Linked DNA regions of Diceros bicornis minor. The protein of the gene in region 1 purifies or fractionates together with the protein of each later gene. This does not show direct contact. Links are inferred from orthologs where the notes say so. Each region holds a gene or a part of one and is shown in the gene's direction. Other genes may lie near its edges. The genes, in order: CCT4 and TLE2.

Region 1 (15,641 bases):
CGACGGACCGCTCGTCCGGCCAAGCTGAGGTGGTCCGGCCAAGCTGAGGCGGTGTCCCACATACGGCAACTAGAAGGATGTGCAACTATGACATACACCTATCTACTGGGGCTTTGGGGAGAAAAAGGAGGGGGATTGGCAATAGATGTTAGCTCAGGGCTGGTCTTCCTCAGCAAAAAAAGAGGAGGATTGACATGGATGTTAACTCAGGGCTGATCTTCCTCACACACACAAAAAAAATTGTCTTTGAAGTTGAGTGAAAACCTGAGAGAAGATATACCCACCCCTGCCTCCTTTTCCAATCCAAACCAGCTCAGTCCTATTACTGGGGGCTTAGCATGTGGTTCAGCATCCATCCTAGACAGAACCCTCACTTGGCTGGTTGGCCACGTATTACTGTTTTATAAAACCTATTTTACAAATCATTGAAGAAATTCCACAAGGCTGTTGTTATTGCCAGCATTCCCACATATGCCTTAAGTCTGCTTGGATCTCATAGGATTTTTTCAGTATTTCTATCCTTCACTAGTAACAGAGCTTTGTGTACATAAAGTACCCTACAAAAGTTTGTATGTTTTAATACTTACTGAAATCACATTCTAGTGGAGAATTAATATACATGAACACCTTTAAGTAATCAAATTTTTAGCATTTACTTATTGCTTAATCTCAGAAAGAAAAATAATTCCAATTTCAGTTGTCACAGCAAAAGAAAAATATTTATAACTTGAAAATTTTCAGGTAATTAAAACAACTATCCTACCCATGGAGACTGTCCCCAAAAGCCAATAATGGCATCTTCCAAATTCTGCTGTCCCCTACGGCTGACAGGTCTACATCTTACACTAATAAAACTGGTAGAGTTTAATAAGCCTTTAGAGATCATCTAGTTCAATCCTCCTATTTTATAGATGAGCAAAATGAGACCCAGAGAACTTAAGTGACTTGCCCAAGGTCACATAGCTAATAAGTAGCAGAGGTGAAACTCAAACCCAGGATTTTGGTCCCCCAAATTAATGCCACTTCCATCATTACACACTTGTTTCCATCTGACTTAATGTAAGTGTTGCCATGTTTGTCCGCTTGGTGACCCTAGGAAACCAACCACACTAAAAAATGCAGAGCAGCTGCTTGTGATGGGAACCGGCCTTTCTCCCACAATACTAGCTACAACTATTTAGGTTATAAAACTCCTGGGATGTCAAGGACAGACACAGACTGGCCATCTGTGTCGGTCCGAGATAAGTACCGGGAGTTACAGTACACGTACACACGTGATAATAGCAAGAAGGAAAAATACCAAATGTTCCCATAGAGATGGTCTCTAAATAAAAACACGCATAAAAGCAACTCACAATTCTGCTTGGGTGAGAGTCTCGCCTGGGGAGGGGACGCCTTGCCCAGGACCACTGTTGATCAGAACTCCTGCCTAGCCATGTCAATTCAAGGGATTCTCTGTGGATGTTGTAAGTACCCGATCTGATGTTTTCTCTTTTCGGTCAATCTGATGTTTCTCTTTTCAATTGATCTGTTGTTATTTCCCTCTTATTTGATCTATTTGGATCTGTTTCTATCTCGGTCGATCTGAACTTTCCCTTTTTGATCAACCTGATGTTTTTCCCTCTTGTTATTTGACCTATTCGGATATGTTTGCTGCCTTTGCCCTTACCCTTCCCTATATAATCTGTTTGCTGCCTTTGCCTTTACCCTTCTCTATACAATAAAGTATACATTCAGTCCATTCGCCTGGGTTGGAAAGTTTCTTTACATCTCCGATCCAATCCACCGAACCTCTCAAAACATAATTTGCACTGTGAGCGGGATTCCATTAAGGAGATGGCTTTCCTATTCAGACAAAGGGTAACTGAAACCAAGGTGGAGATTCCAGGTCCCGGCTGACGTCACCCAAAATAAAAACTCTTTCTTTGCCATAAGCCTGGCGTTTTAGTTTTATTTGGCCCCTCTTATGTGACAAATGGAGAGCCTGGATATGTGTCCAATAACAATTTGGCAGGCCAGCTGGGAGGCTCTTGCCCATGGCTCGGCGGCCCTGGGCCGGCTGGGATGTCCTGGGAAACAGTCCAGCAGCTGCCTAGGTGATTTGCCCTAGGGACTGTTCTCAGTGTTTTCCTTCTGACCCAGCACAGCTGACCCTGGGCACATTTTCTTATGACAGGGAAACAGGCTCTAAAATTGTTTGTTTGTTTTTGCTTACACCAAGAACTCCCTTCCACTCCATCTGGGGTCCTATCTCTTTGAGATGCAGGGCTATCCCTACTGGAATGGAAATAATTATAGGACTTTTACCCAAAATCTGTTGGGGGCACCTGTCCTGTTTGGGATCCCATCTGATTCTCTGTTCTGTACGTTTGTAATTTTGAAGGGGGGGGCCTCCATTTGTCCCCAGGAAAAGCTCTCTGGGCCACCTCTTGGCTAAATGGGCTGACTTCAGCTATGAGCCCACGTCCAAGAAAAAGATAATTTTTTCTTGTAACACCACATGGCCACAATATTCCACAGACTCCAGAGAGAAAGTGGCCAAAATGGGGCAATTTCAGTTTACCAAAACTGGTGTATTTGCTTATGCAATTAAAAAAAGCCAGGTAAAAAGTTAAACAACCAATGGGAAGCCTATTTTAATCTTTTGAGGCTTCTAAATAAAATCAGGAATACTGTACTGCCTCTTTAAAAAAAAATAATTAAATATTAAACATGCCAACAGCTGAAGCTAAATCTGCTTCTCTCTCCTCCCTTGCTGAGCTTCCCACTTCAACTCCCCCAAAATTCCTGATCTAAAATTAAGCAAGTGAAAATAAATAAACTTTTGAGATAATTTGAAATTATAATGGTCATTCTGGGGAACCTCTGTTTCAGACGAGTTCACCTTAAGGGTCACCCTTAAAAGAGAGGATTCAAAACCTCTCACGATGAGATGCAGTCTTTAATTAATATACAGAAACTTCTAAAAGACAAAGTTATTTCAAAAACACCTGTAAAAAGGCTTTACAACAAAAGAAAAAAATCTTTAGTAAATATTTTTGGCCATCTGAGCAGATCCACCTGCTAGAAAAACTGTTTGGATCTAACTGTTCTTCTGAGTTTTGTACCTGAGACCTGGCTAAAATTTTGAAGATCTCTGTTTGTGTTTATCTGTCTCTATGTGTATTTGTCGGCCTCCAGATGGTACAGTTTCTAAAGGAGCTCTATTTAATTGGCTTAGAGTAAACACTTTTACAAGTTATTTCTAAATATAATAAAAACTAGCCTAAATGTCTTTCAAGTTAACATAATATAATCTTTAATAAATAAAAACTTGTTTAAGTTTGTTGGTTTAATTAAAATAAATATGTTTTCAGAGTTATCAACATTAGATATAACACAGACATACAGCCTGGGTTTACTGATCAAAAGAGCTCATGTTATCTCTGTTACAAAATTAGTCAACAAAGGTAATAACAAAATAATAACTATTTCTGTCTGACATCTCATAAGGTTTTTGTAGACAATCTAAATATAATTATTGGAAATAAATAAACAAAATAGATGTAAAAAGGATAAAAGTTTTTGGGGCAACAGTTAGGCTACTCAGGTTAATAAGACTATAAAAATTAAAGTATTTAAGCTAATATTATATAAAGAGCTTATGTCAACTTTGTCTAAATGTGTTTTTTGAAAATAAATATTATATCTGGCTGGGAATGCTTTCCCTACACAGTATTGTAATACTAAAATTTGTTAATAAAATCTTAATAAAAGTAATAGAGATATAAAAGTAATAAAATTAAGATAAAATTTTATAAAAGTTGATATTTTTAAATGGGCTTTATATAAAATGATTACATCTCTGTGGTCTAATTGTATTATAAATTCATTATAAAAATAAACATTATGTCTCACTAAAAAAATTATAAAAAAACATATAATTATGGTGCCAAAACACAATTATTACTGTATTTCATGTTGATGCTCACAGTTCTTTAATTTCTACAGAACAAAAATATAACTCTTATGCTGATCAGCTGGTGCAAATTCGTGCAACACACAACCCAGACTTAACACAATGGATCCATGAAAAGAGTGGACACTTGGGAGAACAAGCTTCATACAGGTGGGCACAACAAAGGAGAATCCTTATCACCCATGATAATATTGCCACTGCAGTACAACAATGTCAATATGCCAATAGTTAAATGGGGAGTTCCACACCCCTACCAAGGTCATATCCAAAAGGGATTATTTCCCACCCATACATGACAAATAGATTTTATTGGACCATTGCCAAATTCTTGTGGCTATATTTACGTCTACACTGCTGTTGACACATATTCCGGCTATTTATTAGCTATGCCGACTAAAGCAGACACCCAGCAGAGTGCCATAAAATTATTAAATACAATTAAGTTGTACTATAAAACACCAAGACAAATTCAGAGTGACAACGGTTCCCACTTTACAGGTAAGTGAATACAAACCTATGCCAAAAAAAAATTATATTAAATGGATATATCATATTCCTTACTAACCCCAAACTGCTGGTCTAATTAAAAAAATAAATAAATTGTTAAAACAACAGCTACACAAATTAAGTAAAAATTCTTTACAAAACTGGTATGCACATTTAAACGCTGCTTTGCATATTTTAAACAATAGGCCTATAGGACCTAATGACACACCTTTAACTAGGTTACAAAAAGAAGACAAAATTGGACAACTACTTATCCTTCCCCTAATAACACCACAAATAAAAAGGGGGAGCCCTCCCTCAATTTTATCCCCCCCCAAAAATTACAAGGCTTCAACTCAACATATGGTTGAAAACCTAGAGCCAGTTTGAGTTACACACCCTCCGCATACTGCTTCCCAAGCGGCCAAAATCATAGCACAAAGAACCACAGCCACCCTAATTGTTATATACCCCAAAAACAATAATCTATATCATGTTCCTAAAAATGCTGTTTCTTTATGTGAATAGGTACTGTTAATCAGCTTGCTGATTGCTGCCACAATGAGCACCTCCTGTTTTCTTCGGACTGCTATGCCATTGAACGTCATGGTTGGACAACCACTGCTGTTGCAGTGCTAGACAGACTGCTTCACGCCAGTTGGACCTGTAACTTGGACATTAAATAAACAGACTATTTGGTCACAAAGGCTGATTTTCACCTCGTCATATCATAACATTTCTGACCAGTCACACAGACAAAATACAAATTATTCCATCCTTTTACCTGCTTCCACTTTATGAAGTGGAAGATTTTATTCATACATTGAGTAAAAAAAAAGGGAAACCTAACTCTCCATATATAAACAATACTGCTTTTCTCAGCATTTTACCAAATGCCACCAACACTCTAGGTAACTCTAATATTTGGCTTCATTTGGCTAACAATGTTCTTAATGTTACCTCTTTCTGCTTGCGCAATAATAATGATCCTCCCAGTTTACTCCAAGCTAACTTGCTAGGATTAGGTCTACCCCATAGCCATACTTTTACTTCATCTGTTAACGCCAGTACTTCATTCTCCCTATCCTCAATTCCTATTTCTAGTACTACCAGTACCACTTGTTATTCCCTTAATTGCACTTATATCCCTACCTATTGTAATCATACTGTAACCCCTTGCGCCACATCTGTAACTTTTCCTACAAAACTATTTTGGCTATGCGGTGATCAAGTCTATTGATATGTTCCAAAAAATACTTCAATGACTTGTGGAGTAGGAGTAATAATACCCCTGCTTGCTACATATCCCAAAGAAAGAGTTCGATATAAGAAAACTTTAACTCCAGATTATGATCCACATGTCAACTTATTACCAATATCCACAGTGACAATATTAGCTACCCTGTTGTTACTCGATCCAAAATTAATTGTAAATAATCACAAACAAATTAAACATCTGTCCTGTTTACTCACTCATATTATGAATGACACTGTTAGAGCTTTATTTACTATTTCTAAAAAAATTACAAGAGTTATAAAGGGAAACATTGATTCAACAAGCAGCCAGCAGCGCTAGATTACCTTTTCCTATTACATAAATTTTCATGTATTCAAATACCAAAAATATGTTGCTTTAATGTTACTAATAAAACCTCTACTTTAAATTCTATAATCAATGACTTACAAAATCAAATTGATAACATTTCTTATTCCAAAAAATTGTTTAAGTGGTTACCCTGGCATATGGGATCTATTTGTTCTGATTGCTTTCTATTTGTCTTATGCATCGACCTTGTAATCACAGGATGTTTTATGTGTAGCTGTGTATAAAGTTCACTGTCCATGCGGCTGGTTTCTTACGGATAACCAAGTGGCCACGGCCAAGATGACAACATAAGTGTTGCCATGTTTGTCCGCTTGGTGACCCTAGGAAACCAGCCACACTAAAAAATACAGAGCAGCTGCTTGTGATGGAAACCGGCCTTTCTCCCACAATACTAGCTACAACTATTTAGGTTATAAAACTCCTGGGATGTCAAGGACAGACACAGACTGGCCATCTGTGTCGGTCAGGGATAAGTACCAGGAGTTGCAGTGCACATACACACCTCATAACAGCAAAAAAAAGAAAAAAAACAAAAAACAAAAAACCAAATGTTCCCATAGAGATGGTCTCTAAATGAAAACATGCATAAAAGCAACTCACAATTCTGCTTGGGCGAGAATCTCGCCTGTGGGGGGGACGCCTTGCCCAGGACCACTGTTGATCAGAACTCCCGCCAAGCCGTGTCAATTCAAGGGACTCTCCCCCACGCGGCGTAGATGTTGTTAAGTACCCGATCTGATGCTTCTCTTTTCAATTAATCTGATGTTATTTCCCCTCGGTCGGTCTGATGTTTCCCTTTTCGATCAATCGGATCTTGTTATTTGACCTATTCGGATCTGTTTCTATCTCGGTCGATCTGATGTTTCCCTTTTCGATCGACCTGATGTTTTTCCCTCTTATTATTTGACCTATTCGGATCTGTTTGCTGCCTTTGTCCTTACCCTTCCCTATATAATCTGTTTGCTGCCTTTACCTTTACTCTTCCCTATATACTAAAGTATACACTCAGTCCACTCGTCTGTGTTGAAAAGTTCCTTTACGCCTCCAATCAAATCCACCAAACCTCTCAAAACACCATCATACCACATCGGTTGTCTTAAATAACTATAGAATGTTCATAGGCCAAGATAGAAGTAATCTGGTCCTTTGAAGTCAGTCCCAGAGGCTTACGGATGGCAGAGCACCTAGGAAGCCTCATCTTCTAGCGCTAATACACTGAATGCTATAAACGCTCCTCAGGATCACAGGATTAAGTACTTGGAACAACTGTTCCTGTACCTATCCAGGCATCTGTTACTTTATGGGTGCTTAATAATTATTTGTGAATGAATACTGAATGAACCTCACCTGCATAAACTTCCATATTAAAATACAGTGGTAATAAGAGCCCAGCAGTTTAGCTCATGACCTCTGAAGTCATTGCTCTGTACTGGAATACTGCTTCCATCTACTTACTGGTACATTGGGCTTCAGTTCTCTTTCTGCTGCGGCTCCTTTATCTACTAAAAAAATATAAAGGCAACTGTTTCATAGGCTTGTTGTGAGAATTGAGATAAAACGTGTAAAGGGTTTAGCACTGCGCCTAGCGCATAACTGAACTAAATGATCGTTTATTAAAATACTTAGGTTTCCTAAGAGTCAATGGCTACGTTAGGTAGAACAAACTAGTGTAAAACGAGGAAGCTGTACTAACCAGACAGTCCCGATTTGGCAGGCAATCATAGCTGCAAAACTTTTAAGACTGTGGTATTCAACCAGTGTATATTTAAATCTCTACTACCCAGTATTAATCAATACGAGACAACCAACGCCAACCCTTAAAGCAAAGGAAAGCAGCCAGCCCTCCCAAATCTCTCTTTCGACCCCCCTTTCACAATGAATAAAAGTGAATTAAAAACAGCTCTATGCAGCCCCACAAAAACCGGCTCAGCCCCAACCATTCGGGAGCAATCTGGGTACGGACACCACCTCGCGGACAGGTCTAGCTTGACTTAACGGAAGGGACCTCATGGCCAGGGAGTGGGGTGGGGAGATGTGGGTGTCCCAACTCCTGCCTTTACAATCGCGGGTTGTCCTTTCTGCCTCGTGTGAGTCAGCCCCACCGCGCCCCCGACCCCCTGCGCCCTGCGCAACATCCCCTGCGAGTCCCGAGCTCCCCGACGCAGTCGCTTCACCCGGCGCGCAGGGGGCAGCCTGTGACGTCATGCCGGCGCCGCGCCGCCAGGCAGGCCCCTTTCTCAACCTCCTCCTCCCGGCGCCGGCTCCGTTTTCTGGAAGATTCGTGAAGGTGGGGGACGCCCACTGTTAGTCTGCGCCGAGCCGGAATCCGAGTCCATCCGTCCTTCCTGGGTCCGCGCAGACCCCGCAAAGCTTGCCATGCCCGAGAACGTGGCACCCCGAAGCGGGGCGCCCGCCGGGACTGCCGGCGGCCGCGGGAAAAGCGCCTATCAGGACCGCGATAAGCCGGCCCAGATCCGCTTCAGCAACATCTCCGCGGCCAAAGGTATCGCCTCCCGGGCTTTCCCCGCGGCCCTGCGGGGTCGCGCTCCGCACGGCTCATTTTCTGTTCTAGGTGATCCCTTCTTGTCCTCCCGTAGAAGCAGCTCTGTGAAGGGACCCTTCTTTCTGTTTTTTGCGGAGAATTCCAGACCCCAAGTATGGAGGCCTTTGGACTTGCCCCAGTCTGGGTCTTAGACGGCCATCATTTTCCATCCTGGGTTGTGCACCATTTATCACACTTCAGCAGAAAGCGGCCGAGGCCCGCGTGCGGCGGTCCCTTGGGATCTGACACTTAAGAGCTGTCGCTTATCTGCTGACTAGGTCCACTAGTAGAATGTTGTTTGCACAGTACTTTCCAGTTTTCTTCTTACAAAAATATCATTTAAGTAAGCTTTTCTCGGCGCAGCTATTGAAGCGAATCTGGTAAACTCTCCGCGCTTCAATTGTGGCGGGGCCCGTTGTACCGGGGTGTGGGGAACCGACTTACCCAACTCGTTTGAGAATAATTATAAAAAGCTACACTGTGCTTTTGTGTCCTCTCTGCGTGTGCAACCGAACACCAGCAAATCGAGACATAGGGACAGTTTACCTTTTTTGAAGAACAGTGTTCGGCTCTTGGTGGAAATTAAGACGACCTGAGTTGCATTCTATTTACATTATTTCGTGGCTTTTGTGACCTTTAATCTCTAGCCAAGCTTTCGTTATGTGTAAAATTGAGGAGGAAAATGTTCGCTTCTCTTAGAGTTGTGAGGATTAAGAGAAGTCTGGTTGAGATAGAAGAGTCTGGAAGGAAAAGTGAGAACAAAGGCTTAGAGATCTTGCCCGTGGTGTGTCTTGAGTACAGTGAGTATTTCTTTCGGTGAGAGAATAAAGTGCACGAAGAAATGAGAGGTGAGATTGGAAAGGTGGAATGGGGCCAAATCTTGAAGGGCCTGGTGTCCTGGAAAGGGTTTGGCGTAGCTCCTGCACTACAGCTGTTCTTCGTCGTAATGAGGTAAGAGCTAACCTGTACGCTTGCTGTGAGGATTAAAGAAGAAAGCACATAAAGAGCCACGGATATAAAGTACAGCCTTACAGGTATTTGAGGCCATCGGCCCAAGTCACTGCGCGCGTGATGGTGATGCTAAAAGAAGTAGGTACACTGGAGGAAGGATGCTGGAAGAAGAGAGAAGAGGTTGTGGTTTGGGCCGAATGAGTTGGAGAGGTCTGAGTGACCAGATGGGTAGATTTAGGAGTCATTTGAAAGTTCAGGAGAGAATGTATACCTGGAAATAAAATTTGGTAGATAGTTGTCTAGGGAGTGTAATTGAAGCTTAGATTGATTACATTAGATGTCAGATAAATTCTGGGGCGCGTGGAGGGTCAGAAGAGCTAGATAATACAGTAGATTGTCAACGAAGAAGGAAGATACAGAATAGGAGGTTTACTGTAGTAACCTTTGAAACAGCAGTGCACAGAGAATTGAGACTGGGCAAGAGAGGTATGCATGTAGGAACGAAATGTCACCTAAATTGTCTAGGAACTTGGCTCTATATCTTAAGTGAGGGGAACTCATAGAGCAAAGGGGCACGACTAGTCTTTCCAAGTCGGACAAAACCCTACAAATTGAGAAAAGCTGCTGCCAGGTGCATGTTTAGTTTAATTTGGGGAGCCAGGTTTTTTTTTTTTATGTTACCAAAAAGATAATCCCATTGGTTGATGCTTTGAAAGACCACACACATGAAAGTAGTAGTAGTTCTAGTACTCTTCAGCATGAGTCATCCACACAGTATGCTAAACTTCAGACACCTTCAGAGATGTAAGCTGTCTGAAATCTTATTTTTTGAATAGTGTGTTATTCTAGAGTCTTCACATAGATGAATAGAAGGGCATTCTAAAATGAATCGGTCTGTTTATAGGATAATCGTCATGGAGGTCAACTAAAATCGCTTGAAAGGGTAAAATTGACTTGATAATTAGGAACAGAAGCCCCAAATTATGAAATAATTAAGTAGAAAATAATTTTTAAATTATACCAGGTATTTTCTCTTAAGCTCTTTAAGATTGTGTATTATTGTTCACACAATATGGAGGGAAGCATTGTGGTAGTTGTGGAGTATACAAAACTGGGGCACAATCTCAGGCCTCTGTAGATGGGGTGAGATGGTATGTGCGAAAGGGGAAGATTTAATCATTTGTCCTGGATTTGTCAAAGACAAGGGGATCAAGTACTGTTCGTCAATTCCAATTTCTCTAAGAAAACAAATGGATTAATAAAATAGAAATATTCTCATGGACAAGTAATAAGAATAAGTAACTTTGGAATGGTAGACTGTATATCCAGAGATGTTTCATAACGTACTAATGATGACCAAAAGCTATGATTTTAGTTTTTGTTTTTTAGTTAAGGTTTGGGTCTTTTGTTTGTTTGGGGTGTTTTTTTTTTTTGGTGGGGCTTGGGTTTTTGTTCTGGGGTCAAAGGGTATTTTTTTACTTGGGCTATCCATATTCTAGCTTCACAATAGCAAACAAAAGTCTTTACCCTCAGAAATTATGCTCTGTAGTTAGAGGAGACAGAGAGTAAACAAATAAGTGAATTATATAGTATGTTAGGAGGTCTGCTTGTTTTGTTTTAAGGAATGGAGAAAAAAATAGTCCTCAATTAGCACATAACTAGATTGTACCATTTTGATGTTTAAAGGAAGATTAGGTAAATCCTTAAAATTTATTCTGCCATAGGCGGAACACAAGTATTACGTATAGTGAGTTTAACAACAAAAGGTGAAGTGTCATACAATTAAAGGAGTAACATAATTATTTTGTTTCCAGTCAATTATTATTAGACAATGAATTTTTTTGGTGGACACAGTGAACTGTTGTACACCATATCCTAATAGAGAGAAAATGATTATTTGAGGAGAGAAATGGGTTGTTCTTTAGAGTCTTGATTTCTTCTTTTTTTTTTTGGTTTACAGCTGTTGCCGATGCAATTAGAACAAGCCTTGGACCAAAAGGAATGGATAAAATGGTAATCCTTCATTACTTAATGGGTGCTACCATCCATACTGCATGATCTCTATAGAGAGTCAAAATGTGCTGTTCAAAAAAGTAAAAAGTATTAGAAGGTACTTTTATAGTTCAGAAGAGGGATAGATTACTTTGGGGTGAACAGGATTTAACTATAATTCATATTTTGGTTTTTAGTGCTTTTTAAGCAATGAAAGTACATACACAAAAGTAGTTATCTGTTGTGTAGTTAGATGGAAAGTATAGTAAGGCTAGGTGTCAGGGCTTCAGTTCAGTGTTCCTTATTGATGTAACTCTGTGACCTGACACAAGTCTATGGGATTTCAACTCTGCTTCTAGCTTGGTTGACTGGCAGCATAAAACAGATACATTCCAATAACTTTTGAGTAATATACCCTCAAATTTAGTCCTAGTTAACATCCAAAATGAGAGATAAGGAAACAATATGGAGGATTGTCTGGATGATATACAGATCATTATTCCCTCTGGATATTTTAAAGTCTGTTCCTCCTAGTTATGCTGTTGCCCTTTGTTGAGAGTACTAAGAAGCACATTAGTGTGTTGACTATAAGAACTGTTTTCACCACATTCGTGGTACTGTCTTTTTGAGGATCCATGGTATTGCTTCTTATTATTAATAAGAACCCAGGAATGATAGTGATTCTTTATGGTATCTTTTTTAGTGTCTAGATTCGTTCACATTTAAGTATCCTGGAACAAAGCCAACTGTTTCATGTGTAAAGTTGGACTATTACTGAATACTTTTAAATCATTATACAGCAATGTGTTGCTTAACAATGGGGCTACGTTCTGAGAAATGCGTCATTAGGCGATTTCATCATCGTGTAAACATCAAGAGTGTACTTACAGAAATCTAGATGATACAGCCTTACAGTTAATACATAAACCAGTAACAGAGTCATTTATTATCATTATCAAGTATTATATACTATAGTTAATTGTGTGTGCTATACTTTTATATGACTGGCAGCACAGTAGGTTTGTTTACACCAGCATCACCACAAACACTTGAGTAATGTGTTGCACTAAGACATTATGACTGCTACAATGTCACTAGGTAATTTTTCAGCTCCATTATAATCTTATGGGACCACCATCTTATATGTGGTCTGTCATTGACCGAAACGTCATTATGCAGCACGTGACTATACTAATGTAAAGGAAGATAATTTGAAATTAAGCACTATGCAAACATGAATTAATTTCTCTACTAAGAAATAGTCAAGTTAGTAGAGCTAATTAGGGTGTCACATTAATGCTGGGTAAAGAAAACAAAATTTTTGAAATGTAACTTACTGAAAAAACCAAACTTACCAGATTCAAGATGGAAAAGGTGATGTGACCATTACAAATGATGGTGCTACCATTCTGAAACAAATGCAAGTGTTACATCCAGCAGCCAGAATGGTAAGTATAATTTTTAGGTGAGTTTTTTTTTGTTTTTTTTTTTTTAAGTGTATTGTTTGATATTTGGTATACAGTTAAATTTGTTTTATGTGGTCACATGATACCATTTGAGCATGGTGAAAATTTTTTCTCCTTATGCAAGACGGGTGTATTTTTAGGGTACATTATATGTCTAACTCTTCAGTTCAAGGTCATAATAAAACATGAATCATCTTGTCCTTGTCCACAGGGGAATGTGCCATACAATTGAGGAAGGAGGAGATAAAAATATGAAATGGTACAAATTGTTCAATGAGTGTTAGCTAGAAGAGAGCAAAATAATTTTAATTGTATGCAAAATGAATCGTGTCTAAACTTGCACTGATGTTTATAAAAAACAATTACCCATTTAACTAAGGATCATAATGATGATTCCAGTGTCAAGTGAAAAGTTACCATATCAGCAAAAGCAAGTTCCTTAGAAATTTCTATCCATTAAAAAGTTCCTCTTAATTATATAGAGATGACTGAACATGAATCACATTGTGCTTATACTGGGTCAGTTCAGATAAACTTGGCAAAAGACTCCAAACTGGCACTCTACTCTCCTCTGAGTGCCCCATTTCATAGCTTCCAAATCTACAGGGTACCTATGGTACAATATCATTTATGCTTTCTGACAGGAACTTGTAAGTAGCTGGGAAGAAAAAATTTACAACCCACAGTCTGAACTGGAAATCATAACTTCTTATAGAGAAAGTATATAAGTAGAGTTTTGTGTGCCACAAATACATGTTGTGATTTTTTCAACAATACCCAAGATAGACAACAAATAGAAGTGAAAAATTATATTAAATCTTATAGTGTTGATAGTAATCAATATAGTGTTGATAATAAATTGTGAAACTGATGTGATGGCCATTGATGTTATATTTAAATTAGAGGATATTAGGTTCTCAAATTTCTCACTGAGCAACTTGACATGTTCTGTTCACTTAGCTGGTGGAGTTATCTAAGGCTCAAGATATAGAAGCAGGAGATGGCACCACATCAGTGGTCATCATTGCTGGCTCTCTCTTAGATTCCTGTACCAAGCTTCTTCAGAAAGGTAGGTAGGACATAGGACATGCTTTATTACTGAATAAAGGCAAAAAGTTCAGTAATAAGAGATTTAAGATTTAATTTGGAATAGCTAATCTTTTTATTAGGAATTTTTAGATTAAATTTTGCTGTGATTATCATGAATTAGAAAATTTTTTCTTTTTGCTTCTGTTTTTTTGCCAGGCTTCTGGCAAAAATGGAACTTGATAAAATTTTGCTTTTCAAAACTGAGTGGTGATGGTGTTACTAATCTTAGGCTGTGGATGAGATCAGTGATTTGAGAGAGAGAGAATGGGTTCTTGCTTTGGTAGATAGTGCTTAATCATATTAGCGACTCTCAAGTCACTTATTCTACTTATGTACATTTGTGGTGTTTTGAAAAGTATAAAATTGGTTTCAGTCTTTTTTTTTTTTTTTTTTGAGGAAGATTGGCCCAGAGCTAACATCTGTTGCCAGTCTTCCTCCTTTTTTCTCTCCAAAGCCTCAGTAGATAGTTGTATGACATAGTTATACATCTTTCTAGTTGCTCTATGTGGGACAGCGCATCATCATGGCTTGATGAGTGGTGCGTAGGTCTGCGCCCAGGATCCGAACCTGTGAACCCCAGGGCGCCAAAGCAGAGCACAAACTTAATCGCTGTGCCACCAGGCCAGCCCCGGTTTCAGTCTTAAATATCACATGAATATGTAATTGATCTGTTCCAAATTAAATGGAAATAAATTATTAGCCATAATTAGCAGTTAAGGTTATTGAAACCATTATAACTGAAGCCTAAGTTAATTTCTAGTTAAGAATAATTAAAAATTTGCTTTGAAATTTTAATGAAAACTTTGAAGTCAAGTCAAATATGTAGTTTATTTGTTACAATAAATAACTAAACTTTCACAAATGGCAGGGATTCATCCAACCATCATTTCTGAGTCATTCCAGAAGGCTTTGGAAAAGGGTATTGAAATATTGACTGACATGTCTCGACCTGTGGAACTGAGTGACAGAGAAACTTTGTTAAATAGTGCGACCACTTCATTGAACTCAAAGGTGAGAAAAGCACTAAGGGATCATTGTAAAATTACAGTTTAAGGTTCATTAAGAACTGCTACTCTCATGCTGTGATTTTTGATGTTATACAGTTCATAAATGTTAAGTCTCAAGAGCGACTAGGGGTAACTAAAGTAATTGGTATAACTGAATTAGTTCAAGTAAAATTTACTCCTTCAAGGCTTTCAGGTAAGTTGTAGCATCCCCATTTTACAGATAGGAAATTAGGTCTAGTGAAGTTAAATAACTCATCCAAGACCCACTCATAAGAGGTAGAGCTGAGATCTGAACCCAAGTCAGGGCTGCCCATCCATAGTCCATCTCTTAATTAATTGTCTATGCTGCTTTTGTTATAGAGGAAGTATGTAAGTAGAATTTTGTGTGCCACCAATATATATCATTTTTCAACTAAACCCAAGATGGACAACAAATAGAAGTCAAAAATTATGTTAAATCTTATAGTATTGATAATAAGTTGTTTGTGAAACTGATGTCTTGGGAACTTAAGTTTCTTGGGAACTCATGTCACCTTCTGTTTTC
Region 2 (15,275 bases), on another chromosome or scaffold:
GAGGAGGCCCCTCCCAGGAGGCGACATTTGAGCTGAGACCTGGGTGACAGTCGGAGCCTGCCAGGGGGAGACGGCTGCAGGGAGGGAGGGTTCCAGGCGGAGGGGGCTGCTGGCTCTGCAGGGTCCCCGAGCCTCCAGCCGGGGTCAAGTGAACACACCAGCGGCGGGAATATGGGGGGCAGTAGGGGTCACGGTCAAGGGCTGGGCCCCTTTGCAGATGAGCAGACCGGGCCCAGCGAGGATTAAAGGTTTCAGCCAACCAGAGGGAGGGAGGAAGTGGAAGGTGAGGCCGCGACTTGGAGGTGGCTTGGGCAGGGACAGGTGCAATGGCCAGGAGACCCCAGGAGCATAAAAATAGGGGTCGCCTTTGGGGTGCCAGCTCCTGCCCTGCTCCCCCACCGGGGGTCGTCCCTGCCGGGCCCTGCACGCTCTCGCACAATAATAAGAGCAAAGGCCGGTTCATCTCTCCAGCTGTTTGATCCTATGAGGATCAGATAAAGAATTTCTATCATTTCCCCCATTTTACAGAATCACTGGACACAGTGGCCGAGGGGAGATTTGAACCCCGGGCCTCCAGGGGTGCTGTGATCTCAGGGTGCAGTCGCCCCCTGCAGGCCAGGTCAGCATGGGGCAGGTTGTCGGGGACTCTGCAGCCCTGCTCTGCATGTTGGGGACCTGGGCACTGCCCCTTCATCCTCCTGCTATATGGAACAGGCACTGCATTGGGCCTGGGCAGACCATAAACACACAAGCACATAGTCAGTGTTCCAAGCGTGAGGGGGCTTTTGGAGGAAATGAAACGAGAGAGGCAGGGAGGGAGGTGGGGGCTACTGTAGCCAGGCTGGCCCAGTGAGGCCTTGCTAGGATGGGATGTTTGATCCAAGATTGGAAGGAAGAGGTGAGCCAGCCATGGTCCAGGCAAAGGAAACAGCCTGTGCAAAGGCCCTGGGGCAGGACTGGGCCTGGTGTGTTGGAGCAACAGCCAGGAGGCCGGTGTGGCTGCAGCAGAGTGAGTGTTACACCTCATGAGAGTTACACCTCATGTAAACAGAGGTGAGGAGTCTGGATTTTATTCTGAGGGTGATGGGGAGCTATGGCAGGTTCTTGAGCAGAGGGAAGGATGGGGTCTGATTCACATTTTAAAGGGTGATCAGAGATGTGGGAGGGATGGAGAGTGAGGGCATAGTCCAGCTGTGGGGTGTGAGGTCAGGGTGGCAGAGAGGGCCCTTTGGGGGCATAATGGGAGTACAGACGCCTGCCCTTACTGAGCACTTACTATGAACTGTTTTAAGTAACTTATTTGAAGATTCTAGTATCAACCTCGTTTTCCACACGAGGAGAGGAGAGCCACTGAGCCCAGGGCCATCCTGGACTCCCCCTCTCTTCTCCCCTGAGCTGCCCAGTTCTCGCCCGGCGAGAGGCTGGAGCTCTGAGCCCTCGGCCATCCTAGTGCCCCTGCCACTGGCTGCCACTTCCCTGACTCCTATCCGCCAGAGCCTACTGCCACTTCACAGACCCATGTGAAAGCAGGCAGAGGGCCTTACAGCCCGTGGGTGTCCACTTCCTCCCATTTCACAGCCAGGGAATGTCCAGAGGGCCACCCAGGCAGGGTCAGAGCTCAAGGGTCTTCACTCCCCCCGGGGGGGGGCCTTATGGTTGCCCCATCTTTCCTCTTCCACTTTGGGTTAGGGTAATATAAATGCACTGCTCAAAGGAAGCAACTCCTATGCATTCTGCAGAACCCCAGCTTAAACACTCCCTCCTGCCATCTAGGAAGCCTTTCCAATTTCCCAACAGGGACCTCCCTCCTGGTTCTGCCCCCACCCCCAGGCCGGGTGGCTCCCTCTACCCCGGCCCTGACCACACGGGGCTCCGAGTTTTCTCCTTGAGTCCCTAGCATGGTCTAGGCCTGGTTGCTCACTCGGGGGACCCCAGAGGGCACTGGTGTCATCCACGAGTCTTGTCCAACCATCTCCCTCTACAGGTGTGTAAACTGAGGCCCCAGAGGGGCCCTCAGGAGTCTCAAGGTCACGCGGGGGGGGGGGCGCTGGCACACGGGGGGGGCCCCCCATGTGCCTGGGTGGAAGGGAATACGTGAGTGATTTCTAGCGGCGGGAACGGAGGCCCAGAGGTCACCCGCGAGCCCTGGCAGGCGGGAGGGGACAGGCCTGGCTGGTGGCCCAGCGGCTCTGCGGGGGGGGCGGCAGGCAGAGGCTGGCGATGTCGGAAGCCAAAGGCCCGGCCTCCCCGAGGGAGCCGCGTTCCCGGCCCGGGTCGGATCAATGGGCTGTAATTATACCGCGCCGGGCCCGGAGCCGGCGGGGACGGAGCGGGAGCTGGCAGCAGCGCGGCGGCGGGCGGGGGAGCGCGGCCCGGAGAGGGCCCCACGTTACTTTGATTGACAGCAGCCCGGGCGGGCGCCGCGCGCGGGCTTCTGGGGATTGTAGTCTTTCCGAGAACCCCTGCTCCCTTCCCCTCTCCCGCCTGCGCGCGGGGAAACTGAGGCACGGGGACCAGCAACCCCCTCCCTGCCTACACGGAGGCCCATCCCTCCCCCGTCGGACCTGGGGACAATAACTGAGCCGTGCTGGGAGCCTCCGGGCTCGGGTGGAGGTCTCAGCTCTTCCCTGGCGGGGGGGGGGGGGGGGTCTAGGATGACTCAACGCCTCTCTGCCTCAGTTTACTTATCTGTGAAATAGGGCTAGCAGCTCTGGTTTTTGCAAGATAGCGTGTTGCACAAGGGACTCTTGTTTTTACGGGGAGACCCGCCAGGCTCAGGGGTGGGTTGCTTCTGCCTGTTTCTGGATACAATCGAGCCGGATCCCCGCCTCCACCCGGCCAAGCTCGCGCGTCCACGAGGGTCTCAGCCCCTCTCGGTGGGGGGAGCCGCGCTCTCCATACCCCGCCGGGAGCGCCTCGCCGCCTTCCGATTGGCCCAGCGGATCCCAGAGCCTCCTGCCATTGGTTGCCGGTTCCCCGAGCCCCATTGGCCAGCTCCCATTGTGACGTCACGGACCCATGTGGGAGCGCCGCGGGCGGATTGGCTGGCGCGCGCAGCCAACCACCGCGGAGAAAGGAATTTCCACAGTAGCTGGGGCGGTGAGGCTGATTTAAGGTGGTCTGAGCAACCCGGGGTCCCAGCGCTGCCTCTCGGCTTTTTCCTTTAAAAAAAAAAACAAAACAACCACATCCACATCATAAAAAGCCAGCCAGGAACCACCGGGGCTGAGCCCTTCTGTGCAGTGGGAGGGGAGAGATTGGAAGCTAAGCCCCTTCCCCCATTTGGCAGCGTCTTCCTGGATCTTGCAGATGGGGAAACTGAGCCCCAGGGAGGTGGGGCCTGAAGCCCCCCGATGGCAAAGGAGTTGGCTGGAGAAATGAGAAGGTTGTGCCAGGCGGCCCAGACTGTCACTCTCGCCTGGCCTGGCCAGTCCTTTCCCTGCCTCCTGCTCTGGCCGGATGTGCCATTTTAGCGAGTTATGGAGCCACAGGCCGCCTGGGGGTCCCCCCATCTCTCAGATTGCTCTCAGCGGAGCCTCCCCAAATTCTGCCCCCAAAACTGGGGATGCTGCTGCTCAGAACAAAACATCTCTTCCTTCCTGGCAGGTCACACACACCATCTCTCGCTGTGTGTGTGTGTGTGTGTGTGTGTGGTCTGTGGCCTCTCAGGCAATCCACAAATCTGTATTTACCCTCCCCTGTGGAGTGTGCCTGGCTGGGAGATCGAAAGACTGGTGGGGAAAGGAAAGGCCCCCTCCTCCAGGAAGCCTCCTCTGGACTCCCTCTGCAGAGGCCCCGTTCCCACTGTGGGGACCTCGCGCCCTGGGCGCTCCCTCTGTCCCGGCACTGACTGTGTGGGCCTGGGAGTGTGTGCTCTGCTCTGTCCCCCGCCCCCCACCCCTAGCTCTCCCTGCAAGGCCTGAGGCTGGCTGAGGGCCCAGCATCTTCCAGCAGAAGGAGGTGGCTATAGAATAAATGCTCACTTAACCACCAACATTGGGCTGAGGGAGGCATGGGGCAGGGGGAGATGCCTTTTGGAGGAGACGTTGGGACTTTGGAGGAGATGCGGGGAAGACATGCCTTTTTGCTGGGCCCTGAAGGCGTGGACTTCCTCCAGGCAGAAATGCAGTGGGAGGGAATTCCAGGAAGAGATAACAACGGAAGCAGAGACCCAGAGGTGGGAGAGAACACAGATTAGGTAATCTGGCTGGTGTGGCTGGAGCAGAGCGTTTGAACCGGTGCAGGGAGGCAAAACTGGGCGGGGCCGGCTGGTGCAGGGCCTCTGATGCTAGCCTGAAGATCTGGGAATTTGTCCCAAGGGCAATCGGGAGCCATGGGAGAGTTTTAAGTGAGGGAGGGCCAGGCTCAAAGGGAAGGTGATAAAAGTGAAGGCTGCTCAGAGTGGGGAGGTGGCTTGAAGTCCAGATGGGAGGTGATTAAGGGCTGGTGCGGGCGGGGGCTGTGGGGATGGGGAGGAGGGTTGCATGGCAGCTGAGGGGGAGCGAGGAGGCCCGGCTGGTGCTCTGTCTCTGGGGACCAGGGTGGACTGTGGGGCCTGACAGGTCTGGGGGAAGATGCCACGTCTAGTGGCCTGGGGGGCATCTGGGGGAGATGCTAGAGGTGGCTGCATCCACAGGGCTGGAGCCAGAGTTTGCAGTCACCCTCATGAAGGTGGTGAGTGAGGCCTGGAAAAGGATGTGGTGGCTTGGAGCCCAAGCAGCCAGAAGTGCGGGCTGCCCGAGGCGAGCAGGCTAAAGGGAAAGAGGAAAAGACAGGAATCAGGGCCACCGGCTAGGAGAGCATGCAGAAGGCGGGGTGGGGAGGCTGCTCTGGGTGGGGCTGCGGGATGAGGGTCCAGGCGGGGCCCTTGACTTTGAGGAGGTGGAGGGCTTTTGGCAAGAGAAGGCCCAAGAGGAGATCGGGGTGGGAAGGAGTAGAGGTGAGGAAGGGGGCGCCACGATTTGGACTAGCGGCCCAGGGAGGGGAGATGCTGTCTTCGCAGGGGACGCAAGACACCTCCTGGAAAAGTTCTGGAATTAGGACTTCACGGACGCCCCCAGAACCCGGAATCACGAGCCCTCGGCATTGTGGAATTGTGGTCCTCCCTGTTTCTTAGAATTTCCCAGCAGGAGTGTGGCCAGGGATCTCTGGCTTTGGCTGGATCGGCTGTTTCTGCTCCTCACTGACTGCCTGTGCATTTATCGAGCACCTACTGTGTGCCAAGCTCTGCACGGACCAAGACAGGCTCTGTCCACACAGCCTAGTACTAGGGGGGACAATGCATAGAATAACCCACAAAGAAACATAAACATATCAAAACAAATCACAAACCAAAATAAAACCTCTGATAGGAGCTAAAAAGAGAGAGAAAAGCAGTTGAGAATAACAGTATTTATTTAGAATAATAGCGTGGGGTGGGTGGATGCTGCTTAATGGGTGGCTGGGAGGGGACTTTCTGAGAAGGTGACATTTGAGCTGAGACCTGAATGGTGGGAAACAAGGGAACAGCATTCCAGGTGGAGGGAACAGTCAGTGCAAAGGCCCTGAGGCAGGCCCCTGTCTGTTCTGTTGGAGGAACAGCGAGGAGGCCAATGTGGCTGGAACAGAGGGAGTGAGGGTGAAAGGGAACAGAGTTGGGATCAGAGATGGGAGGGCCAGGAGGGGGTTTGTGCAGGGCCTTGTGGGAAGAGGGAGGAGTTTGGATTTTATTTTGATGGCAATAGGGAGCTATTGAATGCTCCTTCCGACACACTCACACACACACACACACACACACACACACACACACTATCCCCAGGATCTCTCTTCCCCTCCCTTCCGGGCTGCGCATCTTTATCTTTCAGGTCTCATCTCCTACATTAACCTCCTGAGAGAGGCCTCTCCCGGATGCCCCAGATAAGGAGGTTCCCTCCTGCTGATCTCCACCACTGCTCCCTAAATCTTCCTTTAGACACACAGATAATTCCATCACTGCCAAGCTGTGATCTTGCCTTGTCCCTCGAACCCAGAGAAGGCAGGAGTCTGTCCTCCTTCATCCACCCTTGCATTCCTGGTGCCTGGAAGGCAGTCCATGCTCGAGAAGTAGCCCTTGGCTGGAAACGATGCTCTAAGCTTGAGAAGGGCTTGTGTGCACTTTTGTTCACTCACCCACTGACCCGGGTGCAAACATTAGCATGGGGCAAGGGCTTTTCCCTGTCTTGTTGTTCCCCGCTGAGCCCCAGTGCCTAGAGCAGTGGCTGGGCCATGGTAGGCACTCAAGGGGTGTTTGTTGATTGACTTAATGATCGACTCTGAGGTTTCTTGTATGCAAGATGGGAACAAGGACGTGGTACCTCCGGGGTGAGTGTGAGGGATGCTCGCTGGATGTCTGTAGTGGGAGGAGCCTCTGTCTGATGGCAGAGATTCCCTTCCCGTCCTCGCTGGGACCCCATAGTCTGAGAGGGGAGGCAGCCCCGTCTGCAGGTGGCGGCCACCGGAACACCAGCTCCCATCTCTGGGGCTGACCCAGTGCCAGGCCAAGCCGAGGGCTGTTCCAGTCTCATGCCTTTTAGAAAGAGCGCCTGCCTCTGCCACTTGACAGACGAGAATCCTGGGGGGGCCCGGGCCTGGCTCTGCCTCCCAGCTGGGTCCTCCCGGGGCCTTTGCACACGCTCTTCCTACCCCTGGCAGGCGCCTGGCCAGCCCGCTTCCTCCTCCCCCCGCAGTCTTAGCGCACTTGCCCAGCAAGGCCCCCAAAGCGCCCCCTCCCCACCGGGCTGCCTAGGTATTTGTTTATCTGTTTCTTGTTTTTCTTGGGGAGGGCGGGGGCGGGGCGGGCGGGGCTGGACGCCAGCCTCAGTTTCCCCGCCGGTTCCCCGGCCGAGGGGAGGGCGCGGGGGGCGCGCGGGCCGGTGGGCGGGCCGGGCGGCGGCGCCACCTTAAGGCGGCTCTGCCCGCGGCTCCCGGCCGAGCCCCGCCGGAGGGAGGCGGCTCCGCGCGGGGCCCGCCGCCCGCGCCTCCCCAGCCGGCCGGTCCCGACCCTCCGCGCCCGTCGCGCGCCCCCCGCGCGCCCCCCGCGCGCCCCGCCCGGGAGGGGCCCCGGCCACCCTCCGTCCCCGCCGCCCGCGCGCGCTCTCGGGGGCGCCGGGCACTCCGGGGTCCCCTGCCCCGCGCCCCCTCCTCCTCCTCCTCCTCCTCCTCCGGGCAGCCCCCCGCCTCCAGCCTCGCCGCCCACCCCCACATTGTCCATCCAGCTCGGCGGCGCGGGGGGCTTCCCGGATCGCCAGGATGTACCCCCAGGGAAGGCACCCGGTGAGTGGGGGTCCAGGCTGCGGGGCGGGGGCGGGGGTCCGGGGCGTCCCAGAGCTCAGACCCCGGCGACCCCCCCAGACCCCGCTTCAGTCCGGCCAGCCCTTCAAGTTCTCGATCCTGGAGATCTGCGACCGCATCAAGGAGGAATTCCAGTTTCTTCAGGCTCAGTACCACAGGTGAGGGGGGGCCCGCCCCAGGGGACCCCGGAGTCCGCCTGGGAGCCCCCCGGGAGAGGGCGGGGCCCGCAGGGGAGGGGGGCGGGGCCTCCAGGGTGCAGGAGGAGGGGGCCCCCCGGGGACGAGGGGAGGGAGGGCTTCCAGGTGGAGGCGCAGGTGAGCTTGGAGGGGGTCACTTGGCACTGGGACACTTAGAGCCTGCGAAGGGGTGGGAGGGACTGCGACCAGGAGGTGGGGGTGCGTGTGTGAAAAAGTGGGGAGGGGGAGAGCCAAACCGATCAGTTTGGAAACGGGCCCAGAAGGGGCGTCCGTGGGACTCCAGCTGGGGGGCAGGGGCAATGGGGTCCCAGCATCCTGTCTCCTTCCCAGCCTCAAGCTGGAATGTGAGAAGTTAGCCAGTGAGAAGACGGAAATGCAGCGACATTATGTCATGGTGAGGGGGGGTGATGGTGCCGGGTGGGGGGAGTGGGGAGGGCTGGGCTGTGAGTGAAACACTGGGGTGTGACGCCGGCCTCACTGTGCCTCTGCAGGGTAAGTCCCTGCCCCTCTCTGGGCCTCGCTTTTCCTGTCTGTGAAGTGGGCTGGTTGGGATTCCAGGCTGTCTCCCAGGGCCCTCCGGGCTCTTTAGAACAGGGAGGCAAGGATGTCCCCGCTCCACGGGCATCTCGGCGGGGCCAGGGCCACTGGACACCAGTGACCTGCCCCACCTCCCTGGAGAGAGTGGAGGGGGGCCCTGCATCCTCCTCTGGGCTTTCTCTCCGGGGTCCCACGGGGCTGGGAAGCTGCGGGTCCAGCCGGGGGGCTGTTGGAAGAGCCAGCGTCCCCCAGCGCAGGACTGGACGCGTCGGCCCGTGGACACCCGGCTGGCTTTCTCTTGCAGTACTACGAGATGTCCTACGGACTCAACGTTGAGATGCACAAACAGGTAGGTGGGTGGGGGGTGAGGGTGTTCAGGAGGGAGCGTGGGGGTCTGGAGGCTGTGACACGGCCCCAGCGCTCGGGCGGTCTGCGGCAAAGCAAATCCAGGGCACAGGGGTCTTATCCTGAAATCTCTGGGACCAGGGGGCCAGATTCCAGCCTCGTGAAAGGAAAAAGCGTCTGAGCTTCTGGAGACTCTGTCCAGCCGCGAGGCGAGCGGTGGGCAGGGGCCCACCAAGGAGGGCTCGTAGCAGAGGCCGGCAGCCGGGTCCGGGAGGCTGTGGGGATGCCCTCTGTCCCGGGAGGGGGCCGGCTGGACAGTCTGGGGGGCCCCTTTCAGCCCGGAGAGTCTGACCTTTGGATCCTGAGGGTCTGAGATGGACCCCGAGGTCCTGGGACTGTTTTGAAGGTTCTGAGATTGACCCTAAGGCTCTGAGGCTCTGAGACCCTCCTAAGCTTGTGCGTGTGGTGTCAAGGTTCTGAGATAGACCCAGAGGTTCTGAGATAGACCCGAAGCTTCTGAACTTGAGTCTGGTTGTCCCAGATTAATCCTGAGGTCCTGAGACTGACCTCTGAGGGCTTTTAATGGGATGAGAGGGGCCCCGAGATTCAGAATATCAGAATCAATGAGTAGAGCCTAGTGTCCGGGCTTCCTGGTGGGTGGGAAGAGGAGAGGAGTGGGCTGGGAGTGGGGGTACCTGGGGGTGCCCGCCCCGGGCATGCTTTCCGGGTATGTATGGGCTCCACTGGTTCTGGTGTGGGCCGGAGGGGGCTGTTGGCCTGGAGCGTGGCGTGGTCCCCTGGGTGCGTGAAATAGACCTCCTTATGGGGTGGAGGGCGTGGGGTGGGGCCTGGTTCCTCCCTCCTGGTGGGAACACAGACGCCACCCAGATGCACCCAGCACCCCTGTAATTCAGGCTGACTGTGCACAGCTGGATATGCCTCCCCACCCGCGCAGCCTCCCCTCTGCTCAGCTCTGTGGGACACCCCCCACCTGGACCCTGTCCCGGATGAAACCTACAAGTAAAACCACCCATTTCCCCTTTACTCTCTATCCTTCTGATGCCAAACGTGTGGCTTTTCCCCACACCAACCAATTCTCCAACTCCGACCCCAGCGGGGTGTCCCACAGTTCAGCTCGATTCTGACACACGACCCGGAGTTGGCGCAGACCCCACAGGTCCGGGGCTCGGCCGCACAGGACGGCCCCGCTTCGGACGCCGGTCCCAAGTCCGGGCCTCGTGTCCTTCTGACCAACTGGCTATAAATCCTGGTTCCCACGACCCGCTCTTCGGGTTTGATAATTTGCTAGAACAGCTTACAGAACTCAGGAAAGTTCTTGTTTACTATCACCCATTTATTGTAAGGGCTATAACTTAGGAACTGCCGGATGGAGGAGATGCTCAGAGCAGGGTGTGAGGAAGGGGCTCGGAGCTTCCGTGCCCTCCCTGGGCACCACCCTCCCGGCACCTCCCGTGTTCACCCACCCGGAAGCTCTCCAAACCTAGTATTGTAGGATTTTTGAAATGGAGGCTTCACTGCGTTGGCACGATTGATTAAATCATTGGCCATTGGTGGTTACCTCAATCCCCAGCCCCTCTCCCCTCCTGGAGGTGGAAGGCTGGGGCTGAGAGCTCCAGCCCTCTGATGAACTCAGGTGTGGGGGAAAGGGGGGCTTATTACAAATAGCAAAAGACGCTCCCCTTAGCCCATCACTCAGGAACCCCAGGGGTTTCAGGAGCTCTGTGCCAGGAACTGGGGACAGAGACCAAGTACATGTTTCTCATATCACAACATCACAAGCCTTCCGCAGTGTGGCGCCCGGGCATGTCACCTGGCTGCAGGTAGAGACCGCAGACCAGACCCAGAGAGGGACATGGGCCCAGCCAGGGCTCGAGCCCCCAGGACCCCGGCGGAGGCCCCTCGCCTGGTTTACGATGAACTTGAAGCTTCCCCGTGTCCCGGTCCGGCTGGGCCTCCGCTCTCTGGGACTCTGTCGGGCGTGTCTGGCGGGTGACGTGCCTGCGCTGGGCATCCGCCGGGCACGCAGCCTCCTCGCCAGGCCCTCCGTCGCTCCCTGAGCCCGTGCCTCGCTGGCTCAGTGCCCACTTTGCGCCTGCGGGTGACAGCCCCCCACCCTGAGTTTTGCAGAGGCTCGTTACGCCCTGGAGTCGGGGGGGGCTGTGTTGAGAGGCCCCCCTCCAAGCTCCCTCCGATTGCCTCCCGCCAGGCCGAGATCGTGAAGCGCCTCAGTGGGATCTGTGCTCAGATCATCCCCTTCCTGACCCAGGAGGTGAGTGGGCCTGGTGGGGGCGGCAGGGGAGCTGGCGGAAGATGGGGTTGTGGTGCGGTGGGAAGCTGCAGGCACCGGTCTGGGGGGGAGGACCAGCTGGGGCAGGGGCCGCAGGGATGGAGGGTTCCCTGAGGGTGAGGAGTCAGGGCTCCAAGCCAGCAGTCAGGCTGCCTGGGTCCAAACCCTGGCTGTGTGGCCTTGGGCAAGCTGCCTGCCCTCTCTGTGCCTCTGTCGTCGTGTTTGGACGAGCTAATACATACAAAGTGCCGAGGATGATGCCGGGTGCTTAGTAAACACCCGATAAAAGTTAGACCTTATATGACGCTGAGTGACATGAGGCAGACGCAGAAGGACAGACACTGTGTGATCCCCTCACAGGAGGCCCCTAGAGGAGTCACAGCCACAGAGACAGAAAGTGGATGGTGGGGCCAGGGGCTGGGGGAGGGGAGGGGAGTCAGTGCTTCATGGGGACAGAGTCTCAGTTTGGGGAGATGGAAAGTTCTGGAGACAGAAGGTGGGGAAAGTTGCACAACAGTGTGAGTGTGCTTCATGCCGCTGAGCTGTGCACTTAATGGTTAAAAGAGTAACTCTTATGTTTGTAACCACAAGAATAAAGAAAGATGGAACTATAGTAGATAAAAGCAATAAACAGTGTGAGCACTTTATTGAAACTTAGAAAAACAACGTAGCCCTCATGAGAATGCCCCAAGAGTCTTCCAGCCTCAGGACCTTTGCATCTGCTGAGAGTGGGCACAAGGTGGTCCAGGGTGAGGAGGGCAAAAACCGCAAGAAACGAGGGTCAGAAGACCCTTGGGGGGGGGTGAATGCAGACACACACGTGCCCCGGTGACTCCCCTCCTGTCCCCCCAGCATCAGCAGCAGGTGCTCCAGGCCGTGGAACGTGCCAAGCAGGTGACCGTGGGGGAGCTGAACAGCCTCATCGGGGTGAGTCAACCTGACCCTGCTGTGGGGGGACCCCACCCCCAGGTCCCTGCACCCCATCGGTGCTAAAGCCGGGGTAGTAGGTGGGCAGCTGGCCTGGGCTCTCGAGACCCCGGGGCGCCCCCTCTGCCCGTCCCCGCCGCCCCCGGCCCACCGCTCCTCGTCTCCAGCAGCAGCAGCTCCAGCCGCTGTCCCACCACGCCCCCCCTGTGCCCCTCACCCCTCGCCCGGCCGGGCTGGTGGGCGGCAGTGCCACGGGGCTGCTGGCCCTGTCCGGAGCACTGGCCGCCCAGGCTCAGCTGGCCGCGGCCGCCAAGGAGGACCGGGCAGGCATGGAGGCCGAGGGGTCCAGAGGTGAGTGGGCAGCGCAGGGTGGCACTGGCAGGGGTACGCGGTGGGGCACCAGACTCAGATCTAAGTGTGAGGGGATGAGTGAGGGGGGCTGCGGGGCCGTGGGGGTCAACTTTGCTCCACTGGCTGTGTGTCGTTGGGCGAGCTGCTGCCCCTCTCTGGGCATCTATCTGGATGGTGCGGAGAAGGGATAATCCACTCTTTGCAAGAAGGGAGATTCTGAGCTGGGAAGAGGGCTTTACAAACTGTGGAGGGCGGTACCCTCTGGCACCGTGAGACAAGCAACCCTCATTCTTTTCCTTCTGTCTCTCTTTTCCTCACTTCCACCCCTCCAGTGGAGAGAGCCCCGAGCCGGGTAAGTTGAGGGGCATCCGGGACTTGTGTGACATTTGCTTTGTATCCGCATGTGGCTGAAGCTGCTTGTTCTGAGCTGACGGGGGCCTCGGGCGGAGACCCACATCCCGCTTTCAAACTGTGCCGCCCAGAGCCTTTTGGTGCGGGAGATGCACATAAGGCTCGCATTTTATTTATTTACATCTTTCAATCTTGGAGCTCTTTTTGCAACTGAATAAATGCATGCATGCCCGTGGTAGCATTCCATCCGTCCTTCCCTTCAATACTGTTATCTACCAGAGCGCTGCCGGATAGAAATGTGATGTGAGCCCTGTATGTAATTTTTTAAAAAGTGTTTAATTTTGAAATAATTGTAGACGCACAGGAGGTTGCAAAGAAATGCACAGGGAGGTCCCTGCACCCTTGGCCCAGCTGCCCTCCAAAGATAACATCTTGTGAAACTAAAATACAGTATCCCATGCAGGAAACTGACGTGGGTACCACCCACGGAGCTTATGCAGACTGCACAGTTCTACACAGGTGCATTGTTCCTGACTATGTGCACACGTGCGTGTGCATGTGTGTGCGTGTGTGGTTCTATGCAGTTTCCTCCTGTGTTCGGGCTTGCGTAAACACCACCACAATCTCCAGGCAGTGGTAAATTTTCTAGTAGCCAAGTTACAAACAGTGGAACAGGTGAACTGAATTTCCATAGTCTGTTTTATTTGACACAATGTATCCAAATATTTCAACCCCTCCTCAACCTAAAACATTATTAAGGAGAGAGTTTACGTTCTTTTTCTTGTACTAAGTCTCCAAGGTCCGAATGTGTTTTGCACTTAGAGCTCATCTCAACTTGCAATAGTGCCACCTGGGGACGCTGGGCCATGTCTGGGGACATCTGTGGTTGTCACACTGGGGGAGCTCCTGGCATCACGTGGGTGGGGGCCAGGGATGCTGCTTAACCCCCAGAGCGCCCAGGACAGCCCCACAGAGAATGACCCGGCCCCCACGCCCAGTGCTGAGGGGGAGACCTTGGTGTATAATAGGTGTTTCTGCATTTATCTGTACAGAAATGGGCTCTTTCCTATAGAAATAACAGCGCTCGCTGTGTGCCGGGCACCGCTTCAGCTAAGCGGTCCATAGCTATTACGTCGTGTGTCTTCCCAGCGACCCTAGGAGGTCGGCACTATTATGATCCCCATTTTACAGATGAGGATGCTGAGACAGAGAGAGGTTAAGTGACTTGCCCAGGGTCCTGACCCTTCCTCCCGCCCGGCCCCGTCTCTCTGCAGAGCGCGTCCCCCTCGCCCCCTGAGAGTGTGGCGGAAGAGGAGCAGCCGGGCGGCCCTGGCGGCAACGGGAAGCAGAGGGCCGAGGAGAAGGATCTGTCGGGACCTTATGTGAGTGAGGGGCAAGGGAGGACTGGGGTGGGCACGCCTGGCCTAGACCTGCCCCTGGTCCTGCCCCTCGGAGCCTCCCAGAGCCCAGCTCTGCCCACGACTCTCTCCCTCCAGAGCCTTCCATAGCTCCCTATGGCTCATGGAGCACTGGCCAATCAGCAGAGAGCTTCCTCTGGGGCCTGGCTTAACTCTTTGTTTTCTCTAAGTCTCCAGAACCTCTGGACCACGCATCCATTTTCCCACCACCTGGCTTTTGCTCCGGCTGTTCCCTCCCCCTAGAACCCTTTCCCCCGCCTCTCAGAAACCAGTTTCCCCATCAAGGCACAAAGTGCTCCCTCCTGCAGGAAGCCTTCCCGGACCCCCTCCTTGGGGGCCGGGACCTTGTCTCTCATTGTCAGAGCGATTCCTGCACCTGTCGTTTCAAATTCTGGCGTCCCAGGGGCCAGGCGGAGAGTGAGGCCGGGACGGTGGCCAGCTGGGGGGCATTTGTCTGTCTAGAGGGGCAGCTGGGGCCGTCTGTGGAGGTGGCCTCCGGGCTGCAACCTTTGGTCTTCTCTTGGTTTCCAGCCAAACCAGAGGGCAGCCCAACATGTCAGTGTTTCCCCCGAGGACAATGGGGAGCCATAGAAGGCTGTAGAGCAGATGTGGGCATGGGTCTTAGGAAAATCTCCCTGGGGCAAGCTTGGAGGGCTACCTGGAGGGGACAAGGCTGCAGGCCAGGAGCCCAAGGAGGGGGTAGGTCCGTGCTGGGGCCGTGGGGATGGGCGTTGGGCAGACTGGCGGGCGAGACGGACAATCTTGAGAGGTTGATGGCTCTGTGGGGCTACAGCCAGGAGGGAGGTGCGGACGACTCCTGGTCTCTGGCTCTTCGCCCACTGCACAGAGGAGGAAACTGAGGCCGGGAAGGGCTGGGGGGCGCTCAGATCCCTCTCCATCGTCCTTCTCCATGAGGGACCCACCTTCCTTCTGAACCAAGCAGATGGGCCCAGAATCCTGGCGCCGGCTGGGTGTCTGCTCCCCGTCCCGAGGGGATGTCGGGGGGTGTGGAGGCAGGGGCACGGCCAGGGCGAGCTCTCTCCCCATGTCCCCCCAGGAGAGCGACGAAGACAAGAGCGATTACAACCTGGTGGTGGACGAGGTGAGTCGGGTCCGGCCTCCTCCCCCTCTGGCCCCCGGGACTCGGAGGTCCAGGGACAGGGCAAGCAGTGGGTTTTCCGGAGCGTGGGGTCCCAGAGGGAGCTGGGGCCCTGGTCCCCTCTCTGCGGGATGGTGGGACGGGGATGGCGTGGGGCTGGGGGAGTAGGGGATCCCAGGACCCCTCGGGCCCACCTGCTCTCCATAGCACAGGTGGGGAAACTGAGGCCCAGGGAACACTGGAGATGGCAGCAGAAGTGGCTTCAAGCCCTGGCTCACCGTGTGAATTTGGGGGAGTGACGCTCCCTTCCTCTGCCTCAGTTTCCCCGTCTGTTCAATGGGGGAAAACCAAACCGAGCCCTCGTAGAGTTGTTGCGATGTGTGTTTATGGAGTCGTGTCCTTTCATTGAACTCATTTTACAGATGAGTAAACTG

The links.
Region 2: the proteins of CCT4 (region 1) and TLE2 purify together in Homo sapiens (affinity purification with mass spectrometry; 3 studies listed by BioGRID and IntAct, with this or other methods). This does not show direct contact. The link is inferred for Diceros bicornis minor from reciprocal best matches to the Homo sapiens genes CCT4 and TLE2.

Annotation. Positions count from the first base shown.
Region 1 is NC_080751.1:25,441,893-25,457,533, forward strand, and holds the start of CCT4 (T-complex protein 1 subunit delta), read left to right. Parts: upstream 1-8,299; 5' UTR 8,300-8,426; coding exon 8,427-8,553; intron 8,554-11,503; coding exon 11,504-11,556; intron 11,557-12,893; coding exon 12,894-12,983; intron 12,984-13,961; coding exon 13,962-14,070; intron 14,071-14,958; coding exon 14,959-15,101; intron 15,102-15,641. UniProt on the Homo sapiens protein: Component of the chaperonin-containing T-complex (TRiC), a molecular chaperone complex that assists the folding of actin, tubulin and other proteins upon ATP hydrolysis.
Region 2 is NW_026691553.1:2,360,864-2,376,138, reverse strand, and holds the start of TLE2 (transducin-like enhancer protein 2), read left to right. Parts: upstream 1-7,044; 5' UTR 7,045-7,266; coding exon 7,267-7,290; intron 7,291-7,368; coding exon 7,369-7,466; intron 7,467-7,835; coding exon 7,836-7,899; intron 7,900-8,346; coding exon 8,347-8,391; intron 8,392-10,614; coding exon 10,615-10,677; intron 10,678-11,547; coding exon 11,548-11,622; intron 11,623-11,789; coding exon 11,790-11,973; intron 11,974-12,305; coding exon 12,306-12,325; intron 12,326-13,598; coding exon 13,599-13,706; intron 13,707-14,799; coding exon 14,800-14,844; intron 14,845-15,275.